4 linked regions of the Drosophila melanogaster genome follow. The protein of the gene in region 3 interacts with the protein of the main gene of each other region in a pairwise test. Each region holds a gene or a part of one and is shown on either strand. Other genes may lie near its edges. The genes, in order: elfless, sesB, CG18476 and Ant2.

Region 1 (6,329 bases), on a different chromosome or scaffold from region 3:
ATTTGCCACTGCCATCTGCCTCGACCTTCGTTTTCAGTGGAGGTGCTGCAGCATGCCTTGCATATTTAATCCGGGCTACATTGGACCCGATCCGCCCTGCTGTGACCCCGATTGCTTGGAGGAGGGCCACTGCACGGTTCCGGAGTGCGGAGTTTGCCCGGAGTCCCAACTACCCCGATGCAATCCCGCCCCACAATCCAACAAGGACGCGGCGAAGCAACCACTGGACCAGAAAGCCCAAAAAGAACCGAAGCTCCGGGAACAGAAGTAGTGGGGAAAAAGGCAAAGCTGCAAAAATGAACCAGGAGTCCTTTGGAGATGTGCTGAACACACAACCTTGTTGTGTGTTGCTAATATCTTCAAACATCTTGAGCTAAACCCATTTAGCTCATCATCTCCTGGGCATCGAACCGTCATATTGTAACATTATATTTCAAAAAAATTAATAATAATAATAAATAAATAAAATGAATATCTATAAATAATAAAAACAATAATAATATATATTAACCTCAAATTACCAGCTCTTTTCTATTTTAGCACAAAATAACTGTGGATAAAAAATACAGATAAAATTAATTCATTTTCTTATGATCTATCTAAAATGAAGTCAAATAAATTTAAACCAGCATTCTTGATTTAAATGTCAACAAAATAACACATAAGCGTACATACGCATTTTCTTCATTCAAATTTCAAGCACGAAACGTGTTGTTCTGGTCAAACATTTGTTTAAATTTCTCATTTTTCTCTTCCATTTCCGGTGAGTTTCGAAAGAGAAAATGTGGGAGATGTATTTATAAAATAAGATTTGCAGACTTCTTTCGAGTGCTGAAAATGGTTTACTTAAGTCGTCCTTGGACTCCGGCCATAAACCCTTTCTACATTGGCCCCTATCCGAGATGCGCAGTATGTCCGTGCAACTTCGACATTTACAAAGGATACACCCCCGGTGGCTGGCACAGTCGTTGCTATAGCAGCTATTGACGAGACGAGTACCTGTATAAAATGCAAGAATAACGGCGGGAACAAATATAGTTGAACTTTGAAACTGCACACCAATTAGCCTCGCACACATCTATGTAGAGAAATAATAAAATTGATTCATCGTCACCAAACTGTTGAATATTGCTGGGGAAATAATATAAATATTCCAATCGAAATGGCTTAGATTTCAAATTAGAACTCCTGGGAATTTTAGTTTATCAGGTCGCAAATTGTGTGAAAATAGTTTTCTAAATTCAAAATTCAAGTCTCTTGGTCATGTCCTCGTCTGTGGATCACGTGGTACACCACGTACTGGCCCCAATGGCAATCAACGTCCTCGATCGCGTGGTGCCAGTAATCCGCCAATTGGTGATCATCATGCATCAGGCATTTCTGGTTGATCACCATGTGTCGGAGCCCGTGATCGATGTATCCGGCATGATTCAGCCCGTTCGTAAAATAGTCTTGATTGTAAACGATTCAACGCCGGAGCACCATGTCGACCAGGAGCAGGTGGTCAGTTCGGATGACATTAACTACCTGATAAATGAAATTTCGCGAAGTATCCGAAACTTGGCCCGTTCGACCTATAATACCATCTCGGCGATGGCTGGAGAGTAGCCCTAGAATTATTTGTCATCGTGGTCGATCGAAAAATCCGACATCGACCCTCCTGATCCTCCAGAAGATCCTGCTCCTTTGCCCAAGATATGGAAATGGTTCACACGGCCATCGGAGTTGCGGGCATAGTGGCCCTGTTTATGGTAGTTTCCCGTTCGTTAACTGAAGTGGGTGGCAGGGTGTTAAACCAAACCCGTGATCCGATCGCTGACCTTGTGAGGCGCGGTGGTCCAGTGGCGGATCAGCTGTCCGCCGTCGAGGGCGAAACTCCTCTAGTAGAGGGCGATCGCATGGATGGCGCCTGCTCCGTGGTACAAAGTATTGGAGGCAAGGCATGTGCCTTTGTAGGACCATTGCTTCCTAAGTTTGGCAGTGAACATAATTCCGAGGGCTCCTCCAAGGAAGACGAAAAGGATAAAAAGGACTCGGAACCGGTAGTAGTAAAACCTGAAACACCGCCAGCGGCAGAATTAACCGAAGAGGAGTAGGATCTAGTCAGCAACTATGTCGAATAGAAAGCAAAAAAAAGGAAATTTTTAGTTTTCTCTAGTTGGCCTTGGAAATAAACTTCACTCATCTTGTGGGCTTTGTGGGATTCGAAACCTAGAGAGCTCATTCATTTTGAACAGCTTGGACTGAACACATCTCTTTCGTAAAATAAAACACAAAAAAAAACAATATGAAAAATTGAACAAAAATTCTAAATTCGTAGCCAAGGATTAACTTCAACGTATTTCTTCAGCAGGAAAAAAAATCCCAGGTACGTTCTAGTTCGTTAAAATTGAATAAAAAAGTTATACAATTTAAAAATTGTAAAATTGCTTTGTTCCCTATAGTAATTTTTAAATATTTGGTAATGTTTTGTTAATAACAAACCCCGTTTTGAATGGTTGCAGCCGTACCTTTTGAGCCCCTCCTGCAGATTTTAGAAGAGATTCCAGTGTCCTTTACCAAATCCAAACTTTCAAGATGGTTCTGATGCTTTGCTGCAGCTTCGATCCCTTCTACGTTGGACCCTGCCCACCCGGCTGCCTGGCTCCTTTGATGGGAGGAACTCCCTATTGCGGATGTGGTCCCTGTGGAGGTTGCTGTAGTCCTTGCTGTGGTCCATGTGGTCCTTGTGGTGGCTGCAGCTCGTGTCCTTGCGGCTGGTGAAGCGCCCGCTATCATAGGCATTAATACGGCAGCAAGCGGTAACAAGTCAATTTAAAGATCAACCTTCTGGAAAAGACTGCTGGAGAAATATGTTGCTGTTCGAATTCCTTTTTGCCTTGGCCGGGGCTAAACCAACTAAGCTCTCGTATACATAAAGAATTTTTATTATAAGCTGTTCAGTAATAAAATGAATTAAAGTACAAAAGGAACTGCTTTGTGATATATCTCAACACCGAATAGATCCAACCTGGCAAGTGGATTACGTCAATGTAAACGTGGATGGCCAGCCTCCAGTTAAGGATGCAAATGTTGTCCTAGGTCTTGCCTAGAACAGCTGTTTGGGGCATCAGGTTTATTGCGCAGTCGCGATTCGAACGCGCAACTCGAACAAAAACATAGAATGTAGAGCATTGTGTCAGGTCAAAGGTTGTTGGGGTAGGGATGGAACACCCCCTTCTATTATTCAATCTTTGAATGAAAATGAAACTGAATCTCCAATGCCTCCTGATGCCATGTTGTGTTTTGGATAAGCGCGATTTACAGGGCCGTGTCTGAGGTGTCCCTGAGTTTTTCTGAGGTGGTGATTCCACTTCATTTACATTCATGTGTGTGTGTGAGCTGGCCATTTCACTCTTATTTTGGCATCACTTGCTTTGTTTTTCCGCGGAATTTATTGCGGTAGGTCGGAATTTTCATTGCTTGCCTTCCATTTTTCCGGGGTTTCCTGCAAGTATGCGAGTGTGTCCTTGCGCCATGTTTTATGGCCAAAGTTGTCTGTCTTGTATTTGAGTTTTAGTTTCTCAGCTGAAAGTTTTCGATTGCATTGTGTTTCTTGAGTATGTTGCCTGGGATAAGATTTTGTTTGCGTTGTTATAATGGAGCAACAGTTTCTTTAGGTGTGAATATTGTGTTACGGTCTTTCGAAAGTATATGCCACAAGTCTATTTGTGGTATTTAAAACCGTGGTATTTTTAGTTTAGTATGCTTTCTGCCATATCACGTCTTACAAGAAAATACGATGGAATTCGGGCTCATCCACTCCGCACAATGGGCATACCCTGCCAGTGTCGACAGCTCTCTTAATGCACGCTTTGCAGAAAACGTGGCCACAATTGGTGGACACTGGTAGCTTCTCGCGGACATCTTCCAGGCACACAGGGCAGTTGTAGGGCAAGACAGATTTCTTGGACTCCTCGTCATCTGATTTGATCCGTTTGTTGGGAGGAGAATCCTCGTTTGAATCTGAGGATTCTGTATGTCCCATTGGTGTTGATGATTCGGTGGAGCTCATACTGCTATCGAAGCTAATGCTGGTCGATGAGCTTTCACTATCACTGGAACTAGACGACTCTGAGTCGCTGGAATACTCCAACTGCACAACAAAGTTAAAGCTATTAAAACCTATGGATTCCGGATCGAGATGAACGAACAAGAACTTACCAGGAATGGGGTTCTGTCGATAGATCTGCTGCTGCTTGAGGAGTCCGAGTCTCCGTAATACTCATTTGGATTCCGCTCCTATTAAATGATGTTGTAATGTAACCAATGGATTCTGGGTGGGACCTGGCTAGAACAATAACTTACAGAGGAACCGCTGAGTAAGCGGGATCTTAATCCGGAGGGCGCGAGTACGGGAGTGGGCCCGGTGTTATGGATTCGCTGTGATACTCCAGAATTATTCGAGGTCCTGAAGTTTTCCATTTGAAGTCCCACCTATTCCATAAAGTGTATTATCAATAGATTTCAGAGCTGGGTGAACATGAACTTACCAGGTAACTGAGGCGAGAGCTCAAATGTGAACGGTTTCTGGAAAAGGGTAAGGAAATAACCCTAGTGTTCTGCTCCCATTCAGTAGAAGAGTCTGAGTCGCTGGAATCACCCATTTGAAATCGCACCTGTTTTTGCAGTTTTAATACTACCAATGAATTCTGCCTTGGAACTTACAACTTTTTACAAATTCAGTTGAACCCGTTTCCTTGCTTTTTATTTGCAAATTTACAAGAAAGCTGTTTGAACATATGTCAAAAAATCTTGAAAGTTCCAGGACACAATACCAGTATTTTAAGTGCCAAAGGTCACACTGCGATAAAAAGTACCATTTCAACGCGCCAACAATCATTGTCCGATTTCCATGATTTCCAAATTGGATATTTGCTTAGGATTGTCACCCTAAGAAGTACTATTTATACCAGGTACTCGTGGAGTAAAAGGGTACACTAGATTCGTTGAAACAAATAGAAGGAATTTCCATTTAATTAAGATACAAAACCGAGTAGATCTGGCTATGTTCGCCTGTCTTGCCGGCCGTATGAAAGAATCATAGGAACTATAAAAGCAAGAAGGTTGTGATTAAGCGGACAGATTCTAGAGACATAGACGCAGCACAGATTTTTTGGCCCTGTTGCCACGCCCACTCTAACGACAAACCGCCCAAATCAAATTTGTTTATAATTTTATTAGTCTTGTTAATTCTTATCGATTAGACACAAAACTTTTTGCCATGCCCACTCTAACGCCCAGACTTTAGAACAATTTTTAAATGTTTTCACATTCATCGATATCCCAGAAAAATGATCGAATTTCGCGTTCGTATTCCCACTAGCTGAGTAAGGGGCATCTAAAAGTTAGGGAACTCGACTATAGCATTCTCTCATGTTTGTATCTTAAATGGTTAACATAAAATTAAAAAATATGCTAACAGAAGTAACTCCCTACAACGAAAGAAATTCAAAGATCGAAAGTCCGGACTCAACAACATAGAATTCCCGAAGTCACACACGAACTTGCAACATGTTGCAAGTGCCGCTCGGACTGTCTCGAGCCGTTGGAAGCTCCAGCCGCGTTCTCGACTTCCGATTTAACTTTCAGCGCGCTTTCGGCCGACTTCAGTGTACGTTTGGCTCGCGCAGAGTGCGGATTGCAGTTCGATTCGGCTTAATCAGCCCAGTGATTTTAGCGTATTTCATCCGTAGGATTGCTCTGCCGCAGATCTGGCCGATAAGACTTGGCAACACATCAGGACCCAATCCTGGAGGCCCTAACCGTAATTAAATTATCGGGCGAGTTAATTGGCAGCCCGAGAGTTGCGAAAGTCGTAATGACGGTGCCATTCATCTGGCATTTAGCTTGATTCCCGTTCGCCGATCGCTTTGCCGTGCTAAAGTCTGTAATATTTGGTTAGTGCGGGTTGCCAAAAAGTTAAACAGAACAGAAAGTACGGTTCATTTGCTAAATACACGGGACCATTCAAATATCCCGACACAATTTAAGAGTGTGTGTGGGCGTGTGTTTGTGTATGTGCGCTCAGTGAGTGAGATGTGTGGCAAGTTTCATTTATTGGCAGCCAGCAACTGATTTGAATATTCACTCGCACACTCATACCCGAAAGGATCTGCGCTGCCAAAATACTAGACCAGATTGTGGCTCCTGTGTCGCCCGTGCATAAGTGTGTGTGCAGTATGATTTATAGGTCCTGCAGCAGGCGTGATGTAAAGTGACAATTTCTGGTAATTTTCGATTTACATGCCGTTGTGCATTGGGTAAGTTTGACGAAGGATCCCTGGATT
Region 2 (10,400 bases), on a different chromosome or scaffold from region 3:
CCTCTTTTTTTTGTACTTTTGTTTTTTGTTGTTAATTAACGTATGCAGCAGATTGACAATGGAAAGCGACATGGCTTTCTGTTTTTAATGTTATTTTTATTTAAATGGCTAACTAACGTTTAAGTCTTAAATCCACCCGCACAAGACCATATCTACGAAAACGAGTAGGGTGGGCAGCCCATATAGTACATAACCTTTTATCATTTCATGGCGTACATATAATGATTTTGTAATTTTTTTGAAATGTATTCAATCGAGACAAAATAATATACGTAAATTAATTAAATTTTTTTTGTTTGTCCTTCACATATAGTTGAATATAACGACTAGCTTAGCTTGTTGAGAGGATAATTAGATCCTAGTTAGATGTGGCCCACCCTAATCCGTACACACACATGCACCAAAAAGCAAAAAACACGCGATGATGAAAACAAACAAAGAGCGCACAACAAAGATTTGAGTTCAATATATTATTTGTATTTTCTCAACCACTGCGAAAGTGAACACAATCTGAAATGAGGGACCGACCACCATGTGGGGCGACCTATCAAATCAAATTATTAATTTACTACTGGGCTCGTGGGAGCAAGTCCTCCTCGACGAAGAGGTGGACAGTGTGTTCGGTTGGTGCTACGCCATCGTGGTGTGACATTTGCTGTGGCCGGGGCTGCTGCTGCTGCTGCTGGCGATCGAATTGGCCCACCACAAACGGCGGCACACTGGGGCTAAAAGTACTTCTTCATCTCGTCGTAAAGGGCGAGAACCAGAGCACCGCCCGTGCCGCGAATTATGTTCGATAGGGCGCCCTTGAAAAAGGCTCCAATGCCCTCCTGCTTGGCAATCACCAGCCAGCAATGGGCTGTGTTCTTGTACACCATCTCGGACTTCTTCAGGCCAGACTGCATCATCATGCGGCGACGCACAGTATCGAAGGGATAGGAGGCAATACCGGCAACGGTTGTGACCACCTGGGCAATCGCCCAGCTCACATAGAACGGTGTGCTCTTCGGATTCGGCAGAAAGTCGCGGCAAGTGTCATAGAATCCAAAGTATGCTGCTCGGTAGATGACGATGCCCTGCACCGACACGATGAATCCACGGTACAGACCGATGGGTCCGTCACTCTTGATCACCTTCATTAGACAATCGATCAGGCCGTTGAACTCCCGATTGCCGCCCTTGCCCACATCGGCGGCCAAACTGTCGGCGGAAGATTGAATTGGAATAGTAATAAATAGTTAATAACAAAATCGAATCCAATGAAAGTAAATCAAATTCAAATCAAATGGGGAAAACAGTTCATGTGGGTGAATAATGCAGTTGTAGAAAAAGCGTCTTAATGTATAATCTCATTTGGACATCGATTATTTTGAACGACTATAGTAAGTATGTAAAGGTTCGAATTGTTTTCCTCAATTACTCAAAATTATCAATTTTTAATGTATATGTGTATAAATGAAAAAACCAATTGAATGTGTATATAATGAATCAACTTACCGGGTTCTGGCAAAGTCCAGTGGATAAACGAAGCACAGAGATGTGGCACCTGCTGCACCGCCAGAGGCCAAGTTTCCTGCAAAGTGGCGCCAGAACTGCTTGTGCTTGTCCACGCCCCCGAGGAATACCTGTAGTATGTTTTATGTTTTATATGTTATAGGCGTATGTGAAATGATTATTATAAGGATTGTCCAAACAACTAACCGATTTGTACACATCCTTGAAGGCAAAGTTAAGGGCTTGAGTTGGGAAGTATCGGATTACGTTGGCCAAGTTGCCGCGCCAGAACGACGAGAAGCCCTGCTCCTTGGGAATGCGAATGAAGCAATCGACTATGCCCTTGTAGCGCTGATCTGCCGCGATCTGCTTGGAAACCTCCTGCACCTGCAGAATGAGCTTCACGCGCTCGATAGGAGCCACTGCCGTTTTGGCTATGGCAGCTGAAACGCCGCCCATCATGAAGTCCATGAGGAAAGACTTAAGGTCTCCCTTGCCATGACCACCGCCACCGCCTTCATCGCCCATGTTAGTTTACTGTTTAATGATTTTAAAACGATTTAGTTTAGCTTCAAAGTTGGTTGGTAAAAAAGGATAAAAACGGACTTTCACTTTTTACAATTTTTAATTTTGATGTTACAACGTTGAGATCTGAACTGAGATTGGCTAACGAGGTTGTGTGCCAGTCGGTCGAAATGACATTCGATGTATTTATCGTGGCCTACTTTGACCAACAATTTTAGAAGCGATGAGCGTACGTTTTTTTCCTCTTTTAACAACAGAAAATAATTATAATAATTTAGCTTCGAACTGCCGAAGATTAAATTGAGACGACCAATTGGTTGACTGCACAAATGGTCTGTGTAAGTATGCTAATATAATTTTTGAATTACAAATACATATGTACTTTCATTGCAATAATTGGGTTCAAGTCGAAATATGAAAGATCGATATACATACATACATATGTACGTGCGCAGAAAGAAAAACACAACATTGTACTATTTTTATCAATTTTTATATATTTTTAAACCAACCGAAGTTGAGTTTGTTTGTTGGTTTGTCGTTTCGGAGGCGAAAGAATCTACAGGTCTTCGGTTCGATTCTTTGCATCCGATCGATAACACTGATTTGGCTGGGGAGATGTGGGACGACCCAGCAACATGACTGGATCTATAGTATATAGCCTAACCCAAACTTAACAATACTAATCGATATCGTCGCTATGTTCGTTCGTCTTTCAGTGTAGTGGGTCTAGTCTCATGTGCTGAGTCGCATCCTCTCTCTGCCCCGAGCATTGCTGTTTGCTGTAGTATTGTTGTTCTATTGACGCTGGCCATCGTTCCGTAAATTAGTTCCCAGTTTTTATAAATAATATAATTTCATAATTATATCGGGGTGAGGAAGGAAGGGTTCTTGCTGTTATTGCTTGCCGTTGTTCGTGGTAAGAGGTGTTGGTTGCAGATCAAACTTAGCTTATGCCTTTGCTGTTGCTATTGCTGTTGTTTTAGCTTTTCTCATTCAGTTATCTAACATAATTAGCTGGTAGTGTTTAGTTTTACTTCTTTTGTTTTGTTTTGTTGTTGTATGTTGTTGTATTTTGCTTGTTTTGAATAATTTAATAATTTAATTTACAAGACCTTCTTGATCTCATCGTACAACACAAGCACGAAAGCGCCACCAGTTCCTCTGAGAATGTTGGAGAAGGCGCCCTTGAAGAAGGCACCGGTGCCCTCCTGCTTGGCGATGGTGGCCCAGCAGTGCAGTGTGTTCTTGTAGATGACCTCGGTGGCCTTGCGACCAGACTGCATCATCATGCGACGACGCACGGTATCGAAGGGATAGGACACGATGCCAGCGACGGTTGTCACAACCTGGGCGATGGCCCAGCTGATGTAGATGGGTGTGTTCTTGGGGTCGGGCAGCATACCGCGAGCGGTATCGTAGAAGCCGAAGTAGGCGGCACGGTAGATGATGATGCCCTGCACGGACACTCCGAAACCACGGTACAATCCAACGATGCCGTCGCTCTTGAAGATCTTGGTCAAGCAGTTGCCCAGACCGGTGAATTCACGCTGACCACCCTTGCCAGTATCAGCAGCCAAGCTGTAAATTCGTAGCGAAAGCATTACGTTAGTTTATTGGACATTTTTTTTTTGTTTTTCGCAAATATACCAACATACCGAGTACGGGCAAAGTCCAAGGGGTAGACAAAGCACAGAGAGGTAGCACCAGCGGCACCACCGGAGGCCAAGTTGCCGGCGAAGTAGCGCCAGAACTGGGTGTTCTTGTCCACGCCACCCAGGAAGACCTAAGTTACACACATAATAGCAACCGGGGCGTTAGTGTTTTCCGCTCGCATTGCTAACATGCAGACTGCAAAGTCTCACCTGCTTGTACTTGTCCTTGAAGGCAAAGTTCAGAGCCTGGGTTGGGAAGTATCTGATGACGTTGGCCAAGTTGCCGCGCCAGAAGGACGAGAATCCCTGCTCCTTTGGAATGCGGATAAAGCAATCAACCATGCCCTTGTACTGCTTGTCGGGGCTGATTTGTTTCGAGATGTGCTGAACCTGCAGGAGCAGTTTCACACGCTCAATGGGGGCGACGGCAGTCTTGGAGACAGCTGCGGAGATGCCTCCGGCAGCGAAATCCTTGACGAATCCAACAGCATCGAAATCCTTGCCCATTTTGCTGTAAACACATCGTGCAATTGGCCAAAACTCTGATTAATCTCGACAGTTCCGTCATCGCTGATGGTGATACTTGGTGATACCGATGATGATATACCTTTGTGATGTTATGGATGCTGATATATTCCCCATGGCATGCGGGTGATGGTGCGTTGCATAATGGTTACGATATACGTTTACGGTATTTTTGTATAGTGGATGTACGATTCACTTTGTTTACACGGGTGCAAAAAAAGGCACAATAGAAGAATAGCCCAAAGCCAAATGAAAATGTGAAAATTTTCAATGTATTAAATTATAAACCGAAACCGAAAAACATGCACTTTTTTTTTATTTTTTTGAACAGTTATAAACCGAAACCGAAAAACATGCACTTTTTTTTTTGAACAGCACTACAAATGGTTACAAAACATTTTTGCGGGTGAAGTAAAAAGGTTTTAGCGACAAATGAAACAAATAAAAACATGCACAGTTAGTATAAATGGCAACTTAAACTTAATGCTAAAGGGGGTTAATATTGAATGGTTTATGGAAACATCAGCGTTTTGGTTACAATTATTTGTTGTTTGTGTTAGTATGCGTGTTGGCAGTTGCCGGTAAAACTGGTTTTGTGCAAAAAAGGTGAAAAGTTTTATTGGCCGGCTGGTTGCCACGTGGTGGTTTAAATCGATATAAAATAAGTACTGTTGGAAAATTAAGTTCTAACCAGTTAGCTTTGAAAACTAAGTAAAATACATGGCATTACGTGGCATACATAAATACATAAGTGCTTATCTAATTTATGTTATCTAGAGAATATGACATAAATCAATTGCAGTTCTAGTTGGATAGAGCGGCAGTCTACTGGTTTTCATTGAGTAAAGATTGGGGGATTGCATAATTGCCACACCACACAAAAAAAAAGAAAAGAATTGAATTGAAAAAGTTCAATGGAAAAAGCCAATATATATGGGCATTTGAGTGGGTGTGAGCAAGATGGCTATAGAGGCCACGGTTTTTTTTTTTGGCAGTTGGCATTCGCCATTGAAGCGCGTTTTGTTAATTTTAGACTTTCAAGAGCAGCCGCCGCTCTGCGTTAGCCGTGTGGTTTAAATTATATTTTAGCGAAATTAAATCAGCATTTCATTGACAAGGGTTTTATGTAACACACTTGGCAAAGAGAACTGTGCTTTGCCATTGTTTCGTTTCTCTTCTGTTCTCTTTCTTTGAAATAACAACCGTTATCTAATCGTGTTAGACTTTTGATTGGCTGGAAAGAGAGTGAAGCTTTTTCTTCGGCCACAGCCACAGAGAGCCGAGAGCTAAAAGGCTCGTGATGTAATAGCCTCAGCTGGAAAAATTCTACAGTTGCACGTGGAAAGCTTCCACCGAAGGCTGAGCAGTCGTAGTAGTATCCACAATCCAGTGTTAAGTTTATTCTTAATTCATTGTTATTGATTGCATAAGACCACCACCACACACCAGAAAAAAAATTGTTCAATGAATGATTCAAGTTCAACTCTTTTGTTGTTTTACATAACCAGGCAGATTTTCTTTCAATGCTCAGGTTGGATTTGATTTAAAAAAAAAAAATAATAATAAAAGCATTAGGAACCACACGCGTATTTTGTTAAATGGGCTATGGCTCAATTCGATTCGATAATTGATATCCAATTTGTTTGCCATACGTACAATTTGTATTTGTGTTTCTATATCACAGCACAAAACCGAAAAAAATTTATCCTTATTCCTCGGAAGTCAGAAGTCTGAACCGGACGGCAACTGAATTGCTTGTGAAAGTTCCTTTCGCCGAAATCTGCCAGCTAGCCTGCTCTGCCTACGTCGGCGTCGCAGTCGCCGCCATCGTCAAGTTCAGCAACAGATGAGCGTGAGCGAGAGAGGGGGAGAGCGTTCTCTCTCTATATGCATATGCAGAGTATGCGAAATTCGGAGAGAGCCGAAAAAAAACTAGCGGTTGGCAACAGCACGTGTGCGAGCGAGAGAGGGCGAGAGATCGCCGCTTATCAGTGCTGAGAATTCAAGAATTCAATGTCGCCATTCGTTGCATAAGAGGAAGTATTGTACCACACACTTGTACTCATTAGAAAACACTTTTTGTTTCGTTTTGGCCATGACCAAAAATGCATATATGGCCAATTGTTTTTCATTTACCCCTTTCGAGGTTTTCGACGGCGCTTTCTAAACGCTTGCCAAAATGAATGTACGCACAACATTTACATTTGGCAAATAGCCGACAAGTCAGCTGCGAAGCAGACGGATAGTCCCGTTTAGCTAGTTGTTAGCTAGATTTCTAGAAGATTGAATAGTGTACTTCTATTACACCCAAATACATGTCTTCCTTATTCAACAAAATTGGGGTATCTTTGATATTCAGTTTTAAGAACTACTTGGACTGGCTTAGAAAACTTCAATATACAGCAGTGAACAATTTATTCAAATACAAAAACCAAAACTATTATCAATTTTTATAAAAATAAAAGTTGAAAAGAGTTGAAAGGTTTTATTAATTGTTTGTAGCTATTTAATTGCTAAGCTATTAATAACATTTGGCTTTATTTCTAAAGATAGGGTTGGCAGCACTGCTAGCATGTGACTTTGCTTTCTGACGTCCACCTGCCGCTCTCTCCCTCTCTCTCACGCTTCGTCTCTTTCACGCAGGCGGAAGAGGGGCGGCGCTCGAAAAAAAATGCGTGAAGCGATTAGATAAACACTTCTGCTAATACAGTTAATTTATATAACTGTCTACGACACTTTTTCAAGGTCCCGTTATCACAAAAATTACATAAAAAATAAAAGAGAGCTAGTTGCCCATCAAAAAAGAGAGCGTAAAAAATGCAGTTGCAAAGTTACTGCAAAAATGCTTAATTGCCAAAATTAAACGGCAGCGAAGTTATAATTTTTATGGCTCAGTGTGCGATGAATCGGGGTTTTAGGACAGGGCGTGGATCGGCTTGAAAATCACACTGAAAATTTCCGCCGACTGGGCGAGAATTGGAAATGTGATTCGCCAGGGATATGTAATAATAAACACTAATCTCAACCAAGTGCAAAATCGCACTAAAAGGCCACACAAAGGGCTACAATAAACAATAAATCACATGAATACTATACGTACATTAACGATTGACGTCAGAAAGGGTTTAAGGGGTATGGGAATGGAATAATAATAGAAGAAATGAGAACACTGGGGAAACCCGTTTTTTTCGCATGAATTTTTATCTTTAATAAAAGAAAGCAGGTCAGAAAAGAAAGGGAGGCAACCAAAGAGAAATAGTTACATTACTCTTAAGAAATAAAACCAACTCTCTCTCTCTTCTTCACACACACACACCCGATAAGTACTTGCACGCGCAGCTGGTGTCTGGCATGGGAGTGAGCGAGAGGGCGTTAGTGGCACATGGAATTTATTCGCAACTGTGTGTTCATACACACTCATGTGCGACTGGGCGGTAGAACAATCAATTGCCACGCGTTTTACTATAGAATAGCCTGCATTTGGTGTATATAATAATATATTTGTGCAAATGCAGGCCAATTTGATTCTAGAGAAGTGCAATTCTCTTTGAAATATAATCGCAATTCATGTGCAACATTTTTTCGTACAGACGAGCCGGCCTGCCAACTCGTTGCTATTGCATAAGTTGGCAGTTCCAGCGTGGTTGCAAATTGGAAGGAAATAGATGGGAAAAAGATCCAGCGTGGCTTCTTCCATTTTCTTTCTGGGTATTCTAAATGAACTTTGGATTGGGGGTATAAAATACCGAAAAGTTTGCTAATACGCCCAATTTATTACGTGTTTAATTGATGGCAAACACAATTTCGGCACAATTATTTTTCGCAAGGGTTATGTAAGCACTTTTCGGGTATTTTCAAGTCCCATTTCGGGATTTCTTTTCGATGCAGTTAAACCGGAACTGCTTGTCGAACATACAAAAAAAAACGTTAGTTTAAACCAACACCGACACAATAAAAAAATTAGCACATTACATAACTACAGAATCTAGCGCAAGGTGACGTGAATTAATGGGTAAAAAAAAATCAATGGCAGGTACGGGGCACACCGTCTCTTTTCTTGTTAAGCAAAAGAGCCTCGCAAATGTAATAGATATAGAAAATAGCACAATACCTTCAGTTGATAACTTCTCACAAAAGTCACAGAATAAAAACTTCTTTTGCAGAATCAGACGAAGCCGCGTGCTCACTTGGCGAATGAAATTCGTAAAGTGGTGGGGGTCTCGAGGGCCCAGTGACTTGGGGATGAAAGCTGCAAAAATACCGCATATCGATAGTTGCTTTAACTGGTATTTATTCGGCGATCTATCGATATTCAGCTAGATTTCGGTTTTTATTCGTGATATTTTTGTCGGTAACTTTTGCTAGTATAAATAAATATGGCTATTTTTGATGTAATTAAAACCAGTATATTACGTTTTATTATAAAATTAAGGCAAGCGGGGATTGAAGCATCAATATCGATATTTTTTAATACCTTAAAAATATTTTTACATCGACTTTCCCATTATGTTATATTATTTTATATTATATATTATATTATTGCGAGTTCTGAATTACACAAAAGTTAAAGACTATTTTATGTTTTAATAATGGATTCATTACAATTAATCTGCACGCTTCTTTGGGAAATTAACAACGACCTGTACGACCTCCTTTTGCCAAACTATGATAAAAACTAGTTTGAATGTATTGCATTTAACGCGGTTTTTTAATTGCTCTTTTTTTTACAAAAACAAAAGTTTTCTTTTTATATTAAATCAAAGGTTTGTCCAAAATTGGAATATCTCATACCTCGTTGAAATCGTTCCAAATTCCTCATCGAACTGTATTTAAGTCTGGCAACTTTAATTTTTGGCCATTTTTTGCAAATTTGGTTATCGAAAATGAGAAAATCGGTAATTTGTCGAATTTTGATGATGGTACCCCTAATGAAAAATTGCTTAAATTGGTCAAAAAAATTATTCCTGAAACTCGGTTTGAAAGTGTTACAGATTGTTAGCAATGTTAATAAGCAACACAAAACAGTCATCGTTTTAGCTGAGCCACCTTTTTTGGCCAAGTTATTCTGAAAAATGTTTTTCGAAAATATCATATTCTTAATTTTAAAACGTTGTTGAAAAGGATAATCGCAAAACTTGATTCAAAATGCACTTCTTATATACGAAAAATCATTTATTGAGTAAATTTCTTTTCGATTTGTTTTTCACATGTTCACAAAATTGTATTTGAGTTAGTTGTATATCTGGTTTTCTAATATTTTCCTTGGCCTTGGGATACAATTTAGTAAGCTTTTGTGTCTTTTTATTTGCTGTATGTGGGTCTTGTATACGGTAATTTCGTATTGAGCGCTAGCAATATTAACATTTAGTTACACCGAAATGGGGAAAACATCTTACGCAGATTAGTATGTTATGTATACACCTATGTATATCTCTAGTTTTTGAATCAGCACCCTGGGACAGGCCAGAATACTAGGAGTTTTGGGCGTGCTGAGGGGTATGGTAATCAAATGAAGAACCCTTTCTTTTGAATTTCGTTGGTTGGACAGAGGGGTTAATTTAAAGGCAATGGTAAAGGTAAAAGATAAAGGCAAACAAATGCAAAGTACTGGCTAGTAAATACTGGGGCCTCTAAACTATGACGACACATCTAGACATCGAGTCCTATGTCCTTTACGTGGTTATCTAGATTACTTTCGGGTACATATTCCATGGCAGATACAAAACATACACAGAGTGGATATTTGATATATGTATAGTATATTGGTTATCGTGTACCGATTGTGTTAGCGTTTTGCTTGTGGTTAAAAGACAGTTATACAATGTAATTGGGAATATAGTTTTGTTTTCATCCTATTTGTGTGATTTATTCGTTCGCTTTTTTTTTGTTTATTTTTTTTTTTTGTGGTTTGTTTTTGTTTTTATTTAATTTTTTCTTGTATAGGAAACAACAAAAATGGACGCAAAATGATTGTTATAGTAGTATTCATGTTTACCCATCTTGCTTTTACGTTTAGTTAACTATATAGGAATATGCAAAACGTACACTTAATATATTTTTTTTGGTTTTGTTTTACGATTTTGTTACTATGTTCCTTATCGATCTGATACTATATAAATGCAGCTCTAAAACTTGTATTCTTTGACATTGTTCTGTTCCATCTGTCTTTCTTTTTATTAACTATCTTTCGATCTGGCGGCA
Region 3 (8,043 bases):
GATTGGCATTAAGAAGCGGGTGGAGAACTGCACCCGGAAGGCCAAGGGCGGCGATCTCGTCCACGTGCACTACAGAGTAAGGGAAATCAGATAAGGAAGATCTCTAGCCGACCTAACCCCGAATTTGGAATCATTCTAGGGAGCACTGCAGGATGGAACAGAGTTCGATAGCAGCTACTCCCGCGGCACTCCCTTCTCCTTTACCCTGGGAGCTCGGCAGGTGATCAAGGGCTGGGATCAGGGAATCCTTGGTATGTGTGAGGGTGAGCAGCGAAAGCTGACGATTCCGCCTGAGCTGGGATACGGAGCCAGTGGAGCGGGTGGCGGAAAGATTCCCCCCAATGCGGTGCTCGTCTTCGATACGGAGTTGGTAAAAATCGAACCGCGCTCTGGATCTGAAGAGCTGTAAAGCGAATAGGGCCACAAATAGGCATTCCATGCTACACCCAAAGTTTACTTTCAACTAAAGTCATAAACATTTAATGCTCAAATATTTAAAGTAGTAATTTGTCTTGTTTCTGAAGTGATGCCACGCCACGACCAATAAATAATAATGTCATTCCTTTTATACTAGACCAAATTGTATTTATTGCAAGAGCCCCTTACTTTTGGCGTCTCAGCCACGCTTCCACCTCGTCGAAGTGACGCCGCATCAACCGATGCTTCTCCAGCGTGCTGCTCTGGATGAAGCGCTCGCCACAGGTGCCGCACACGAAAGGACATTCGCCGGTGTGCTGCTGGAGATGAAGCTTCAGGTCCTTGGCCTGACGGTAACTCTTCTCGCAGTAGGTGCATTTGTGCGGCTTTAGGCCGCTGTGCGTAAGCATATGGCGCTTGAGCTTATCGGAGCGGGCAAAGTCCTTGCCACAGACGGTGCAGTGGAATGGCTTCTCGCCGGTGTGCATCCGGCGGTGCGAGGCCAGCTCTGAGTGGCGGGGAAAGGCCATTTCGCACAGATCGCACTTGAAGGGCTTCTCGCCAGTGTGGCGTCGCATATGGGTCACAAGAGCGGCGGCTGATCTCGTCTCCATTCCGCACAGGGAGCAGAGGAAGCGCTTAATTGCCTCCTTGCGCTTGCGGTCGCCGTTAATGTGCACATCGCGAATATGATTGTTCAGGCGCGACTTCATCTGGTACGTGCGATCGCAGTGTGGACACTGTAGCAGCGGTATTCCGTCCTCAGTGGCATCCTTTTCCAGGTCACCGGTCCCTTGCGTGTGTCTGTCGCCAGTCGGATTGCTGACGGAAGACTTGCTGTGTTGCAGGAGAATGTGCTGCTCTAGGTTCTCTGGCCACATAAACTTGTAGGAACACTTGCCACATGCATGCTTCTTTTCTGTACTACTACACTGACCTTGCCGGTGGTGGTCCATAATGCTCTGAAGCAATAATGAAATTGACATAATGTATCTATACTGGTTAAATGTAGAATACACATTTAAAACCTCACCTTGGAGACACATTTAAAGATGCAGTCGTCGCATTCGTGTGGCATTTTGTCAAAGCGATGCATCGTCCGCTGATGCTGGATCATTTCGAACTTCCGCTTGCACTGCACGCTGCACAGCTCGCAAATATATACGGGGCGACTGCCCACACCGGGCTGCATCTCGTCTTCGGTTTCCGAATCCTCCAGCTGCAGCTCAAAGCCAGATTCGTTTGTTATTGAATAATTATGCGGGGAGTCGTAGCTCTGGTGTAGCGACAGGGATAGCTTAAGCTCCAACTGGATATGGGCTCGCAGATCAACAATACGCTCGAAATGCAGATTGCACATGCGGCAAGTAATGCGCTTCGCTCCGTTTGGCCGCGAGGTGGCAGCAATCAATGTTTCTGCCAAGGGAATGTCATGCTCTTTCAAACCGTGTCGCTTCAAGTGTTTTACCAAGTAGTCGTGCCGATAGAATTTGCGACTGCACCACTGGCAGGGAATCAGCTTGGATTCCTCCGCATGTACGCTAAGCAGGTGAACGGTGAGGGATTTCTTTTTATCAAAGACCCGTTTGCACTCGGAACATTCAAACGTTTGATTCTGTAAAATTCATAGATGCAATGGGTCTGTAGCCTGAACAATTCTTAGATTAACTTACTGTAATCCTGTGTTCGCGGAAGTGTGTTTTCAGGTTGTGTTTCCAGCGAAAGCGTAGCGGGCATTTGTGGCAGAGAAATCGCTTTTGTGCATTCCTACACTGCGACTCGTTGTGGTGGCGCAGCAGCTGCAGACTTACAAAACGTCCATCACATCGCCCGCAGACGTGAGGAGCGTCTGACCAACTGTGACTTTGTCGCTGATGGTCATAAAGCTGATATTTTCGCGGGAACTTTTGCTGGCACAGCTCGCAGCTGTAGGTGGCTTTGCGCGACTTCTTTCGCCTCTTGTGCTGGTCATCGTGATCTCCGTCCAGGTCGCTGTCCGTCTCCGAGCTGTCCAGATCCATTTCGTAGCCACTTTGGTTCGTTATCGAATAGAAACGCTGATAGATACCCGCCGCTAGATCCTTGCGAATCAAGTTGATTAACTGCTCCTCACTGAGGTCCTTTGAATCGGGATAAAACAGCTCTGCCAGCTCATGGGGCTCCATATTTGGCCGACCGCACAGGCTAACAATATCGGGGTGCTCCTCCAAATGCCGGCGCAGATCAGCAATCTTGTTGTATTGGCTCTGACAGATCATGCACTCAATCAGCTTGTAGCCATGCGGTTTGCAGAGATTCAAATCCACAGCCTTGGCCTTCTTGTGCTCGCTAATGTTGGCCGATCGTTTTGAATTCCGGTGAATTTTTAGGTGTGCTTCGAGGGCTTCGCTGCGGCTGAACTTGCGAATGCAAAGGGAGCAGTCATATAATCGAGTTTCTGGCTTATGGACGCGCATTTCATGGCGTTTCAAGAAGTCGAATCGTTTAAAACTCCTAGGGCAGTCGTGACATTTATATACAGACTTTCTTCCTGTTTTCCACTTTTGAATGCGATTATACAGTGGCAAATTATCCAGGGAGCTGCAAGATTAGTTAGTTAAAATAAAGTAGTTGGGAAATTCCAATTGTCACCCACTCTTCGTCTTCAAAGTCCGATGTGGGATCGTCATACGCTGGCTTCTCCACGCTTCTGGGTTCCATTTCCAGCTTCACCGTTTCAATCATGGTCAGTGGGTCCACCGACTTTTTGCTCTCCATGTCCGTTTCGTCCGGTTCCGGTAGTTCGGAACAAGTGATAGTAACATCATTTTCGCCACAGTCCTCATCCTCAGTCTCCAGCTTGACTTCCACATGCTGCTCAGCACACAGCTCCATCGGCGCCTCCTGCAGACAGTCGGTTGACGTTGGAGCAGCACCGTTCTTTAGATGCTTCATTAGAAGTTCGTTGGCGGCCATCGCCTGCTTCACATAGCAATAGGCACCCATTAATTTTTTGGTGCATCCACTGCACAAGCATTGCGGAAATTTCTGACTACCAGTTGCATCCAGCTGAAAGGTAAATGTTTCATTTTAGTTTGCATTTTTCGTAGATTTCGCTTCTTAGAACTTTGTTTACATTGATTTCGGTTAGCTCGCATAAAATCTCCGAAAGCAACTTGTCCGGATACTTTTTCGAGGGCGTGGCCAGCTTCAGAAGGTTGTCGGTGTCCGTGGAGTCGCACGTGCGACAAATCACCGGCAGCTTCATGGCGAACAAATTTGTTTTGGCCAATTGAAAGCTTTTTTAATTTTAAATCAACAATCAGAAAATCAACATTATTGATGGTATGACCTTGATGCGAGAGATGGAAAATACCGTTCGGTCATTAAAAAAATACCACGTTGTTAAAAAATACAGCAATTAATTGGGTGCGTTCAGCAGAGTCCGCTAATTATTTTCAAAGGGAAATATTACACAAATATTTTTAAAATAAACTGAAGAAATTGTTAAATTATGAAAAATATAAATCAATATCCACCAGACAAACAATTAATACAAATATTACAGAACCATTAGAAACTGTGATTAAAAAATCACGACTTAAAATTTACTGCTGACGGTGACCAATTGTTGAATGTGAAATCAATAGTGCACTTTTATTACAATAAATCTACAATAGAGCGACGATAATTTGTTATTTAATCTAAATTGGAGCTTAAATTAGTTTGTGGCGTGTGCACGTTTAGCATACGCGAAATCCGGCAAACCGAAACAGAGCCTCGACCCGATTAGATCCAATCCTCTAGTATTTCTTGATCGTTTTCCGTATGAGGGCAAGGCGCTGTTTGTGCGCCTCCGTGACAGCTGCCCGCTTGTAGGGACGCAGTTCGTCCGTACCGAAGCCGGGTATCCACATGTTGTACTTCCGCTCAAAGTGCAGCTGCACGTCGCGCACCTCGATCTTGTTAGACTTTCGGTGCTTGGCGAAGGCGCTCGTCGACTTGACGGTGTCCTCGACAAAGTCGTCGATGATCTGAAGCAGAAGCTCCTCAACATCCTCGTCCAGCTGCGTGGTGGTATCCACCTCTCGGACGAGCTCTGTGAGACGCGGTTTGGTAAGCATCTGTAATTCGGAAGAGAGTTAAACTAGACCCTGGCGTATTCCGTGTGCACTCCATAAGGCACGCATCTTACGGGAGTGTTCTCGGAACCGGCGGCGGATGATGTGTGATTGGATGACTTGCTACCACCAGATATGGGGCCCGTTCCCGTACCCAAACCGGAAACCGGTCCGCCGTTCTGCGAGGATGAGTTGCTGTTGTTGGTCATCGGACTGTGCTGGGAGGGCGAGGCCATGGGTGGGTCGTGGAGCAGTCCGCTGGCGGACGATGTGGAGTTGTGGTTGTGGTGCAGGTGGTGCTCGGCGACGCCGTTGCTATCGAAAGTGGTAAAGAGATCCGACATTGCTTTTGGGTTTCTTCAGAGTCAAATCAAGTGGGTGGTAGGTCGGTTGGTTGGAAGTGTTTGGGGAAAGTACAGTAAGTTGGGCGGATTTTTGGGGAGTGGGTAAGAGTGCAGAACCAAAGCCAAAAGCGTTAGTGTACTTGTTGTTGTTGCTGCTTATGTTGTGTGTCCTCCTGCTTTCTCAACTGCAGTCGGTGATTGTGTGTGCGTGGGTGTTTGGTTGCAAAGCGAAATGTAAGTAAAAGAATAGAGTGGTCAATTTCACGCGTGCGGTCTTAAGAATCCGTCGCTTTGTGTGTTTACTAAAACTAAAGTGTTACTTAGCAGTTGCTCTTAGCGCATGCAACACTTACAATTATTGCGGTTTTAACACTTTGATCTTAAACTATTACTTTCCTAAATTACTAAACAAAATAAAAATAAGCGGAGCAACTACAGCCAAATCAACAGTATGGCCAGTTGCAGGCGACTCTGAAATGCCCGCTGGTGCTATAAAGCAATTTGGTATATTTACGTTTAATTTCAGTATATTTTAGTTAGACAGCCACACTGGCGTGGAGTTCAAAACAAAACAAAGACGGCGTATTTTGCAAATATCACGTAGATAAGGAATATATTTTACTTTGTAATTGGGAACAATAGCTGCGCAAAAGAAACATGTCAGCGAGCGAAGAAACAATAGCGGACAGTCAGGTCTCCGAGAATGTGGAGGATGTGGAATTCGTAGACATGGCGTTCACAAAGGAGTTGCGTAAAGCCACAAAAGATGTGCATAATCTTACTGATGTTCTAGTGAATGCAAAGATCGCACTTGGTTCGTTAATTACACGATATTATTAGAAGTTATTAGATATTCCTCTTCTTCCATAGCCCTTTCTGATGACGAGGTCTGGTATGATGGACTCCTGGCCTTCTACGAACTGTACAAATTCTTTGAGACCCATCTGCCGGAGCGCCTGCTGCCCAAAGAATTCCACAGAACAGCGGCATTTGAAAGGGATTTTGCCTATTTCTACGGTTCCGATTGGAGGAAGGACTACGAAATTCGCCCGGCGGTCCAGAAATATCTCGAGCATCTGGAAAAGATTGCCGCACAGAACGAACTCTTGCTGTTCGCCTACTCCTATCAGATGTACATGGCTTTGATGTCCGGCGGACAAATGTTGCAGAAGAAGCGTATGATCGCTCGTAAAATGTGGATCTTTTCAAAGAACGATGACGAGGAGCAGCAGAAGCAGGCCGACAAGGAGGCAGAGTTGGCCACCGCCAGAGCTGCCGATGGCTCTGTAGACAAAGACGACTTGGAGGCCAGGCCAATGCCTGCCCAGGTTACCATTTGCCCGCCGGGATGTGAGGCCACATATTTTCCTGAGAAGGTGCGTAGCTTTTTACTTTGTTCCTTATATCTATTGTCTTTATATCCACTTTCAGATCTCTGTCTTAAAGGCCAAACTAAGGCGCGTTTTCAACAATCACTACGGAGCTTTTGACGATGATTTGCGTGCTGCTTTTATTGAGGAAAGTCGCAACGTATTTCGCTTAAATATAGAAGTAGTACGGACCATCAAAGGTGTGAATCGTGCCAATCTTAGGAAGCTGGCCCTCGCACTAATCTTTGTTTCAAGTATTGTAGTGGCCGTGAAATTTGCTCTCAAGTAAGAAAAGTAGGAAATACAAATGTAAGCTCTCTTGAGCAAGTTAGAATTGTGATCACACATTTATTTAGTCGTTTGTTAAATAGTAAATAACCTGAAATTTGTCTGAAGTAAAGTATTTATTGGGAATGTCCGTTGGCAAAATTATCAAGCAGTCCTCGTCTATTTATCCATGGCATGACACGCTCTATATTGGCCCTATAACGTTCGTTGCTAAACATTGCCTCCCTCAGGGATTTGCCATTCTCTTCATTTCCCAAAAAGCTATCAGTGGTAAAGTCATCGGTTGTCTTGTTAAGACACATCGACAAGGTAGTGAGCACAGTTCCAGCAGCTTGAAGAAAAACATGTCAGTCAGAGGAATTTAAAAACCTCAAATCCTTCTGTAAATTACCAAAAATGGGGTGCTGTATCAGAATGGCGTGCAGTTCCTTTAGCGAGGGAATAAATCCGTTGTAGTTCAACAGCTTGGCGTGCTCCTTCATGTTTTGATGATACCATCGGATAAGGTAGTCAAACTGATCGACTTTGATGTCCAGTTGAGTGGAGCTCATTATGAAGTAATACAGATCCTGGGCAGGATTTCCATACTTCGTGACTTGGTGATCCAACAGGAGGGTTTCCTTGACGCGACCATCTGATTCGTATTGGAACATGATGTTATTTATCCAGGCATCACCATGATTGAGCACATTAAACGCTTGTTCATTTATTTTGGCATCTTCAAGTATTCTGTCGACATACGTATCCAAGATCTCTGGCTGCAAAATATGATTTTGTTAAGTTAGTTACAAGGAATAAAGTAAAGTGACTTACCATTTTGTGCAAGTACTCATCCACACCGTCAAACTTGCTCACTTCTTCTATAAAGGATTTCTTAGTGTTAACAAACATACCCTTAAATATAGGTGCCGTTTGCTCTGTAAAAATGCCATTATTGTATTTGGGCGAATAGGGTCCATTTAGTTCCTTGTACTTCAGAGAGGCTGCATGCCACTGGGCCAATTTCTTTAACGTGCACTTGGAATGCTCCAAGTCCATTCCAATCATGCGATCGACCATCTTGAAGCCACTCGGCTGCAGGTTCTCCAAAAGCAGGTACTCCTTGCTGACGTCCTTGCTGAGCCGGAAGGACTTCGGACTAAAAGTGACTGGTAGGCCAACATCCTTATAGAAACGCTCGAAGGCGGGCACATATGTGCTGTAAACCTCTATCTCTTTTGGAAACAGGTTAAAGTCGGAGAAGTTGATTGCGTCATTGTCGCTGTGGACTTTCAGGATGTACGAGAAGGTCTTCACGCTATTGTCTGTAGATGTGAGAAGATTGGTTATAATATTAAATATTTCAGAATTTAAAGTAGTTTACCTTTTAACTGCGCCTCGATTTCGACCTTCAGCAGCTTGGAAGCAAAGTTGTCGCCAGGTTTCGTCGCCAACTTTGAAGTACTGCTTAAGATCTTTTCGAAATTTGGTTCCGCGGATAAAATGATTTCCTTGAAATCGTCAATATTTAGCCAGTCCGGGATC
Region 4 (7,174 bases), on a different chromosome or scaffold from region 3:
AAACTAAACCGAAACTGAAAATAAAACATTTTTGAGAAGAGAAAACATGAAATAAAACTTTCAACATTTACTATATATTTTTAGCATTTAAGATCCAAAAGTGGAAAATAATAAAAAAAAACCTATTGTGTCAGCAGTAAGAAAATGTACTAAAAAAGTTTACACATACAAAACACACATTTAAAAAAAAAACACAAAAATTTAACAAAATGAAACCCAAAAAAAAAGCGATAAGCATGAACTAAAAACACCCAACAACCGAAGGGAAAATGACCCCAAAAATTTTGAAAAAAACACACACCCCAAGAAACACTAAATTCTTTATGTAAAATTCGATATGGAAATCCCTATTCATATTGTATATGTACAATAGCAACAACGCAACATCAAAATGCATTAAAATGTTGTATGATGTAGACTATGCATTGGAACGAAACGAAACGAAACAAGAAAAGAGGATAGAACGGAGAGGATAAGGAGAGCAAACGAAACGAAAAAGAATGAGAGAAAAGCGAAAGCAAAACTAGTTCAAAGAGTCTCTTTACCCCCGAACCACTGAGCTTTGTTTGTTTGTTTTTGTACATTTCAAGCATTTTGAATATACATATATGCATATATATTTAATAGACCTTATTTATACATACATTTATAATTTTTTATTGTTTCGATTTGTAATAGATTATATACGGTAATCAACTGGAGACTGAGCTACAACATATATTTAGTTACCGTTATATTTATTGCAGAGACACACACACATACATACACTAACACCAACCCCAACACCCTACATGCAAAAAAACAAAAAAAAAACACCCATTCACCACCACCCACATGCAACATCAAACTATATTCTATAACCAAATTCTAACTAAAAACCTTAATCTATAAAAAAAATAAGCATGCATAACGCTATATAAATTATAAATCGATAAGCCTGGCGTTGCGTAGTCAGTTTATTGCATTTTATTTGGCATATTGAAAAATGATTTCCGTTTTATCTTCCGTTGATATCTTACTACCCATATGGGAATCAATCTACGATTCCCGCTTATTTACTTTGATTATTTTATAATTTTGTTGTTGTGTATATCATTTTGCCGCCCTCGTCAACCAACCAAACACTCCACTTCCATATTCCTATGTCCCCATAGTCCCTCCAAATCCGAACCCCACATCCAGCCACCCAATCAATTCCATTTAATCAGACCTCCCCCCTTCTCACTTCTCCAGCGCCTGGTTTGCCTGTGTGATAGTAGTTTATAATTAAAACCATCCGCTGGGCACCCAACTCCCCTCATGGGACCTTAAGCAGTCCCCCCCCCCCTTTCACCAGAACCCTAACCTGCACACATCATTTTTTCAATTTTTGAACGGCGAGCAAACTATATAGAAACCACTTTACACATAATATACTAAAGCTTAAAACAAAAAAAAACATAAAATTAAAGATGAAAACTTACAAAAAAATACCACTATTTTTACATTAATTATTTTTAAATTTATCCTTATCTTTACCTAAATTAGTTTAGAGCTTTTTTTTGCGTCGTCTACATTTTACTGTTAAGTTCATTTAATCTACACATAATCTACATGAGGATGATGTGACGACACCAGATGTATCTACACTGTACATTGTATCTACATTACAGAGCTAAAATATCTATAAATATTATAAATATAACAAAAAAAGAGTAAAATATTATTAAAAACACAAAAAAAAAAACAAAAATAATTCGTTCCTTGGTTGTTTTTATTTTCGTTGTAGTTCAGTATTTTTGATTTTCAGTAACTGGTTTTCCTCTCTCCTTTCCAAATCGGCTTCGATTCCGAAATCCTATAATCCCGATCGTTTCGAGAGGCTTTCGATGTTGTCCCTGTACCCAGACATACATATATTAATGATCCGTAACCCCCTATTCAAACAGTTGTCTAAATTATTAATTTAATGTGAATTTGAGAAGAGCTAAAGTCGTCAGATAAATTCAAATAGCGTGTGAGTACATACATAGATGTATACCTAACTAACAACACCGATCATATATATGGAGTACACTAAACTAACATAACCTAACGTAAACTAAAATAAAGAATAAATGAATGAATTAACTACCTCAGCTTTGAATATTTCTATAGAAATGTTATTAAATGTATTTGAAAAGCGTAAGAGATATACAAATGCAAGATGCCGCCAGATCGAAAGATAGTTAATAAAAAGAAAGACAGATGGAACAGAACAATGTCAAAGAATACAAGTTTTAGAGCTGCATTTATATAGTATCAGATCGATAAGGAACATAGTAACAAAATCGTAAAACAAAACCAAAAAAAATATATTAAGTGTACGTTTTGCATATTCCTATATAGTTAACTAAACGTAAAAGCAAGATGGGTAAACATGAATACTACTATAACAATCATTTTGCGTCCATTTTTGTTGTTTCCTATACAAGAAAAAATTAAATAAAAACAAAAACAAACCACAAAAAAAAAAAATAAACAAAAAAAAAGCGAACGAATAAATCACACAAATAGGATGAAAACAAAACTATATTCCCAATTACATTGTATAACTGTCTTTTAACCACAAGCAAAACGCTAACACAATCGGTACACGATAACCAATATACTATACATATATCAAATATCCACTCTGTGTATGTTTTGTATCTGCCATGGAATATGTACCCGAAAGTAATCTAGATAACCACGTAAAGGACATAGGACTCGATGTCTAGATGTGTCGTCATAGTTTAGAGGCCCCAGTATTTACTAGCCAGTACTTTGCATTTGTTTGCCTTTATCTTTTACCTTTACCATTGCCTTTAAATTAACCCCTCTGTCCAACCAACGAAATTCAAAAGAAAGGGTTCTTCATTTGATTACCATACCCCTCAGCACGCCCAAAACTCCTAGTATTCTGGCCTGTCCCAGGGTGCTGATTCAAAAACTAGAGATATACATAGGTGTATACATAACATACTAATCTGCGTAAGATGTTTTCCCCATTTCGGTGTAACTAAATGTTAATATTGCTAGCGCTCAATACGAAATTACCGTATACAAGACCCACATACAGCAAATAAAAAGACACAAAAGCTTACTAAATTGTATCCCAAGGCCAAGGAAAATATTAGAAAACCAGATATACAACTAACTCAAATACAATTTTGTGAACATGTGAAAAACAAATCGAAAAGAAATTTACTCAATAAATGATTTTTCGTATATAAGAAGTGCATTTTGAATCAAGTTTTGCGATTATCCTTTTCAACAACGTTTTAAAATTAAGAATATGATATTTTCGAAAAACATTTTTCAGAATAACTTGGCCAAAAAAGGTGGCTCAGCTAAAACGATGACTGTTTTGTGTTGCTTATTAACATTGCTAACAATCTGTAACACTTTCAAACCGAGTTTCAGGAATAATTTTTTTGACCAATTTAAGCAATTTTTCATTAGGGGTACCATCATCAAAATTCGACAAATTACCGATTTTCTCATTTTCGATAACCAAATTTGCAAAAAATGGCCAAAAATTAAAGTTGCCAGACTTAAATACAGTTCGATGAGGAATTTGGAACGATTTCAACGAGGTATGAGATATTCCAATTTTGGACAAACCTTTGATTTAATATAAAAAGAAAACTTTTGTTTTTGTAAAAAAAAGAGCAATTAAAAAACCGCGTTAAATGCAATACATTCAAACTAGTTTTTATCATAGTTTGGCAAAAGGAGGTCGTACAGGTCGTTGTTAATTTCCCAAAGAAGCGTGCAGATTAATTGTAATGAATCCATTATTAAAACATAAAATAGTCTTTAACTTTTGTGTAATTCAGAACTCGCAATAATATAATATATAATATAAAATAATATAACATAATGGGAAAGTCGATGTAAAAATATTTTTAAGGTATTAAAAAATATCGATATTGATGCTTCAATCCCCGCTTGCCTTAATTTTATAATAAAACGTAATATACTGGTTTTAATTACATCAAAAATAGCCATATTTATTTATACTAGCAAAAGTTACCGACAAAAATATCACGAATAAAAACCGAAATCTAGCTGAATATCGATAGATCGCCGAATAAATACCAGTTAAAGCAACTATCGATATGCGGTATTTTTGCAGCTTTCATCCCCAAGTCACTGGGCCCTCGAGACCCCCACCACTTTACGAATTTCATTCGCCAAGTGAGCACGCGGCTTCGTCTGATTCTGCAAAAGAAGTTTTTATTCTGTGACTTTTGTGAGAAGTTATCAACTGAAGGTATTGTGCTATTTTCTATATCTATTACATTTGCGAGGCTCTTTTGCTTAACAAGAAAAGAGACGGTGTGCCCCGTACCTGCCATTGATTTTTTTTTACCCATTAATTCACGTCACCTTGCGCTAGATTCTGTAGTTATGTAATGTGCTAATTTTTTTATTGTGTCGGTGTTGGTTTAAACTAACGTTTTTTTTTGTATGTTCGACAAGCAGTTCCGGTTTAACTGCATCGAAAAGAAATCCCGAAATGGGACTTGAAAATACCCGAAAAGTGCTTACATAACCCTTGCGAAAAATAATTGTGCCGAAATTGTGTTTGCCATCAATTAAACACGTAATAAATTGGGCGTATTAGCAAACTTTTCGGTATTTTATACCCCCAATCCAAAGTTCATTTAGAATACCCAGAAAGAAAATGGAAGAAGCCACGCTGGATCTTTTTCCCATCTATTTCCTTCCAATTTGCAACCACGCTGGAACTGCCAACTTATGCAATAGCAACGAGTTGGCAGGCCGGCTCGTCTGTACGAAAAAATGTTGCACATGAATTGCGATTATATTTCAAAGAGAATTGCACTTCTCTAGAATCAAATTGGCCTGCATTTGCACAAATATATTATTATATACACCAAATGCAGGCTATTCTATAGTAAAACGCGTGGCAATTGATTGTTCTACCGCCCAGTCGCACATGAGTGTGTATGAACACACAGTTGCGAATAAATTCCATGTGCCACTAACGCCCTCTCGCTCACTCCCATGCCAGACACCAGCTGCGCGTGCAAGTACTTATCGGGTGTGTGTGTGTGAAGAAGAGAGAGAGAGTTGGTTTTATTTCTTAAGAGTAATGTAACTATTTCTCTTTGGTTGCCTCCCTTTCTTTTCTGACCTGCTTTCTTTTATTAAAGATAAAAATTCATGCGAAAAAAACGGGTTTCCCCAGTGTTCTCATTTCTTCTATTATTATTCCATTCCCATACCCCTTAAACCCTTTCTGACGTCAATCGTTAATGTACGTATAGTATTCATGTGATTTATTGTTTATTGTAGCCCTTTGTGTGGCCTTTTAGTGCGATTTTGCACTTGGTTGAGATTAGTGTTTATTATTACATATCCCTGGCGAATCACATTTCCAATTCTCGCCCAGTCGGCGGAAATTTTCAGTGTGATTTTCAAGCCGATCCACGCCCTGTCCTAAAACCCCGATTCATCGCACACTGAGCCATAAAAATTATAACTTCGCTGCCGTTTAATTTTGGCAATTAAGCATTTTTGCAGTAACTTTGCAACTGCATTTTTTACGCTCTCTTTTTTGATGGGCAACTAGCTCTCTTTTATTTTTTATGTAATTTTTGTGATAACGGGACCTTGAAAAAGTGTCGTAGACAGTTATATAAATTAACTGTATTAGCAGAAGTGTTTATCTAATCGCTTCACGCATTTTTTTTCGAGCGCCGCCCCTCTTCCGCCTGCGTGAAAGAGACGAAGCGTGAGAGAGAGGGAGAGAGCGGCAGGTGGACGTCAGAAAGCAAAGTCACATGCTAGCAGTGCTGCCAACCCTATCTTTAGAAATAAAGCCAAATGTTATTAATAGCTTAGCAATTAAATAGCTACAAACAATTAATAAAACCTTTCAACTCTTTTCAACTTTTATTTTTATAAAAATTGATAATAGTTTTGGTTTTTGTATTTGAATAAATTGTTCACTGCTGTATATTGAAGTTTTCTAAGCCAGTCCAAGTAGTTCTTAAAACTGAATATCAAAGATACCCCAATTTTGTTGAATAAGGAAGACATGTATTTGGGTGTAATAGAAGTACACTATTCAATCTTCTAGAAATCTAGCTAACAACTAGCTAAACGGGACTATCCGTCTGCTTCGCAGCTGACTTGTCGGCTATTTGCCAAATGTAAATGTTGTGCGTACATTCATTTTGGCAAGCGTTTAGAAAGCGCCGTCGAAAACCTCGAAAGGGGTAAATGAAAAACAATTGGCCATATATGCATTTTTGGTCATGGCCAAAACGAAACAAAAAGTGTTTTCTAATGAGTACAAGTGTGTGGTACAATACTTCCTCTTATGCAACGAATGGCGACATTGAATTCTTGAATTCTCAGCACTGATAAGCGGCGATCTCTCGCCCTCTCTCGCTCGCACACGTGCTGTTGCCAACCGCTAGTTTTTTTTCGGCTCTCTCCGAATTTCGCATACTCTGCATATGCATATAGAGAGAGAACGCTCTCCCCCTCTCTCGCTCACGCTCATCTGTTGCTGAACTTGACGATGGCGGCGACTGCGACGCCGACGTAGGCAGAGCAGGCTAGCTGGCAGATTTCGGCGAAAGGAACTTTCACAAGCAATTCAGTTGCCGTCCGGTTCAGACTTCTGACTTCCGAGGAATAAGGATAAATTTTTTTCGGTTTTGTGCTGTGATATAGAAACACAAATACAAATTGTACGTATGGCAAACAAATTGGATATCAATTATCGAATCGAATTGAGCCATAGCCCATTTAACAAAATACGCGTGTGGTTCCTAATGCTTTTATTATTATTTTTTTTTTTTAAATCAAATCCAACCTGAGCATTGAAAGAAAATCTGCCTGGTTATGTAAAACAACAAAAGAGTTGAACTTGAATCATTCATTGAACAATTTTTTTTCTGGTGTGTGGTGGTGGTCTTATGCAATCAATAACAATGAATTAAGAATAAACTTAACACTGGATTGTGGATACTACTACGACTGCTCAGCCTTCGGTGGAAGCTTTCCACGTGCAACTGTAGAATTTTTCCAGCTGAGGCTATTACATCACGAGCCTTTTAGCTCTCGGCTCTCTGTGGCTGTGGCCGAAGAAAAAGCTTCACTCTCTTTCCAGCCAATCAAAAGTCTAACACGA

The links.
Region 1: the proteins of CG18476 (region 3) and elfless interact in a two-hybrid assay, tested with the Drosophila melanogaster proteins (one large-scale study listed by BioGRID).
Region 2: the proteins of CG18476 (region 3) and sesB interact in a two-hybrid assay, tested with the Drosophila melanogaster proteins (one large-scale study listed by BioGRID).
Region 4: the proteins of CG18476 (region 3) and Ant2 interact in a two-hybrid assay, tested with the Drosophila melanogaster proteins (one large-scale study listed by BioGRID).

What each region holds. Positions count from the first base shown.
Region 1 is NT_033779.5:18,006,731-18,013,059, forward strand, and holds elfless (elfless), read right to left. Parts: upstream 4,746-6,329; 5' UTR 4,647-4,745; coding exon 4,533-4,646; intron 4,477-4,532; coding exon 4,348-4,476; intron 4,282-4,347; coding exon 4,204-4,281; intron 4,136-4,203; coding exon 3,767-4,135; 3' UTR 2,913-3,766; downstream 1-2,912. Other genes in the region: CG5693 (uncharacterized protein), read left to right, coding at 53-271; CG42659 (uncharacterized protein), read left to right, coding at 838-987; CG42634 (uncharacterized protein), read left to right, coding at 1,264-1,608; CG42635 (uncharacterized protein), read left to right, coding at 1,698-2,096; CG31740 (uncharacterized protein), read left to right, coding at 2,578-2,763.
Region 2 is NC_004354.4:10,778,496-10,788,895, forward strand, and holds sesB (stress-sensitive B), read right to left. Parts: upstream 8,413-10,400; 5' UTR 8,311-8,412; intron 5,964-8,310; exon of another isoform or gene 5,856-5,963; intron 4,395-5,855; 5' UTR 4,317-4,394; coding exon 4,282-4,316; intron 4,186-4,281; coding exon 3,885-4,185; intron 3,806-3,884; coding exon 3,678-3,805; intron 3,601-3,677; coding exon 3,126-3,600; 3' UTR 2,498-3,125; downstream 1-2,497. Other genes in the region: Ant2 (adenine nucleotide translocase 2), read right to left, coding at 726-1,200, 1,498-1,625, 1,702-2,022.
Region 3 is NT_033777.3:11,674,353-11,682,395, forward strand, and holds CG18476 (uncharacterized protein), read right to left. Parts: upstream 3,765-8,043; 5' UTR 3,665-3,764; coding exon 3,533-3,664; intron 3,466-3,532; coding exon 3,053-3,465; intron 2,998-3,052; coding exon 2,091-2,997; intron 2,033-2,090; coding exon 1,451-2,032; intron 1,380-1,450; coding exon 603-1,379; 3' UTR 568-602; downstream 1-567. Other genes in the region: CG14715 (uncharacterized protein), read left to right, coding at 1-76, 140-409; Taf12 (TBP-associated factor 12), read right to left, coding at 4,200-4,520, 4,592-4,861; Ho (heme oxygenase), read left to right, coding at 5,519-5,675, 5,732-6,237, 6,293-6,520; CG6830 (uncharacterized protein), read right to left, coding at 6,636-6,850, 6,911-7,277, 7,333-7,823, 7,883-8,043.
Region 4 is NC_004354.4:10,783,908-10,791,081, reverse strand, and holds the start of Ant2 (adenine nucleotide translocase 2), read left to right. Parts: upstream 1-4,174; 5' UTR 4,175-4,276; intron 4,277-6,623; exon of another isoform or gene 6,624-6,731; intron 6,732-7,174.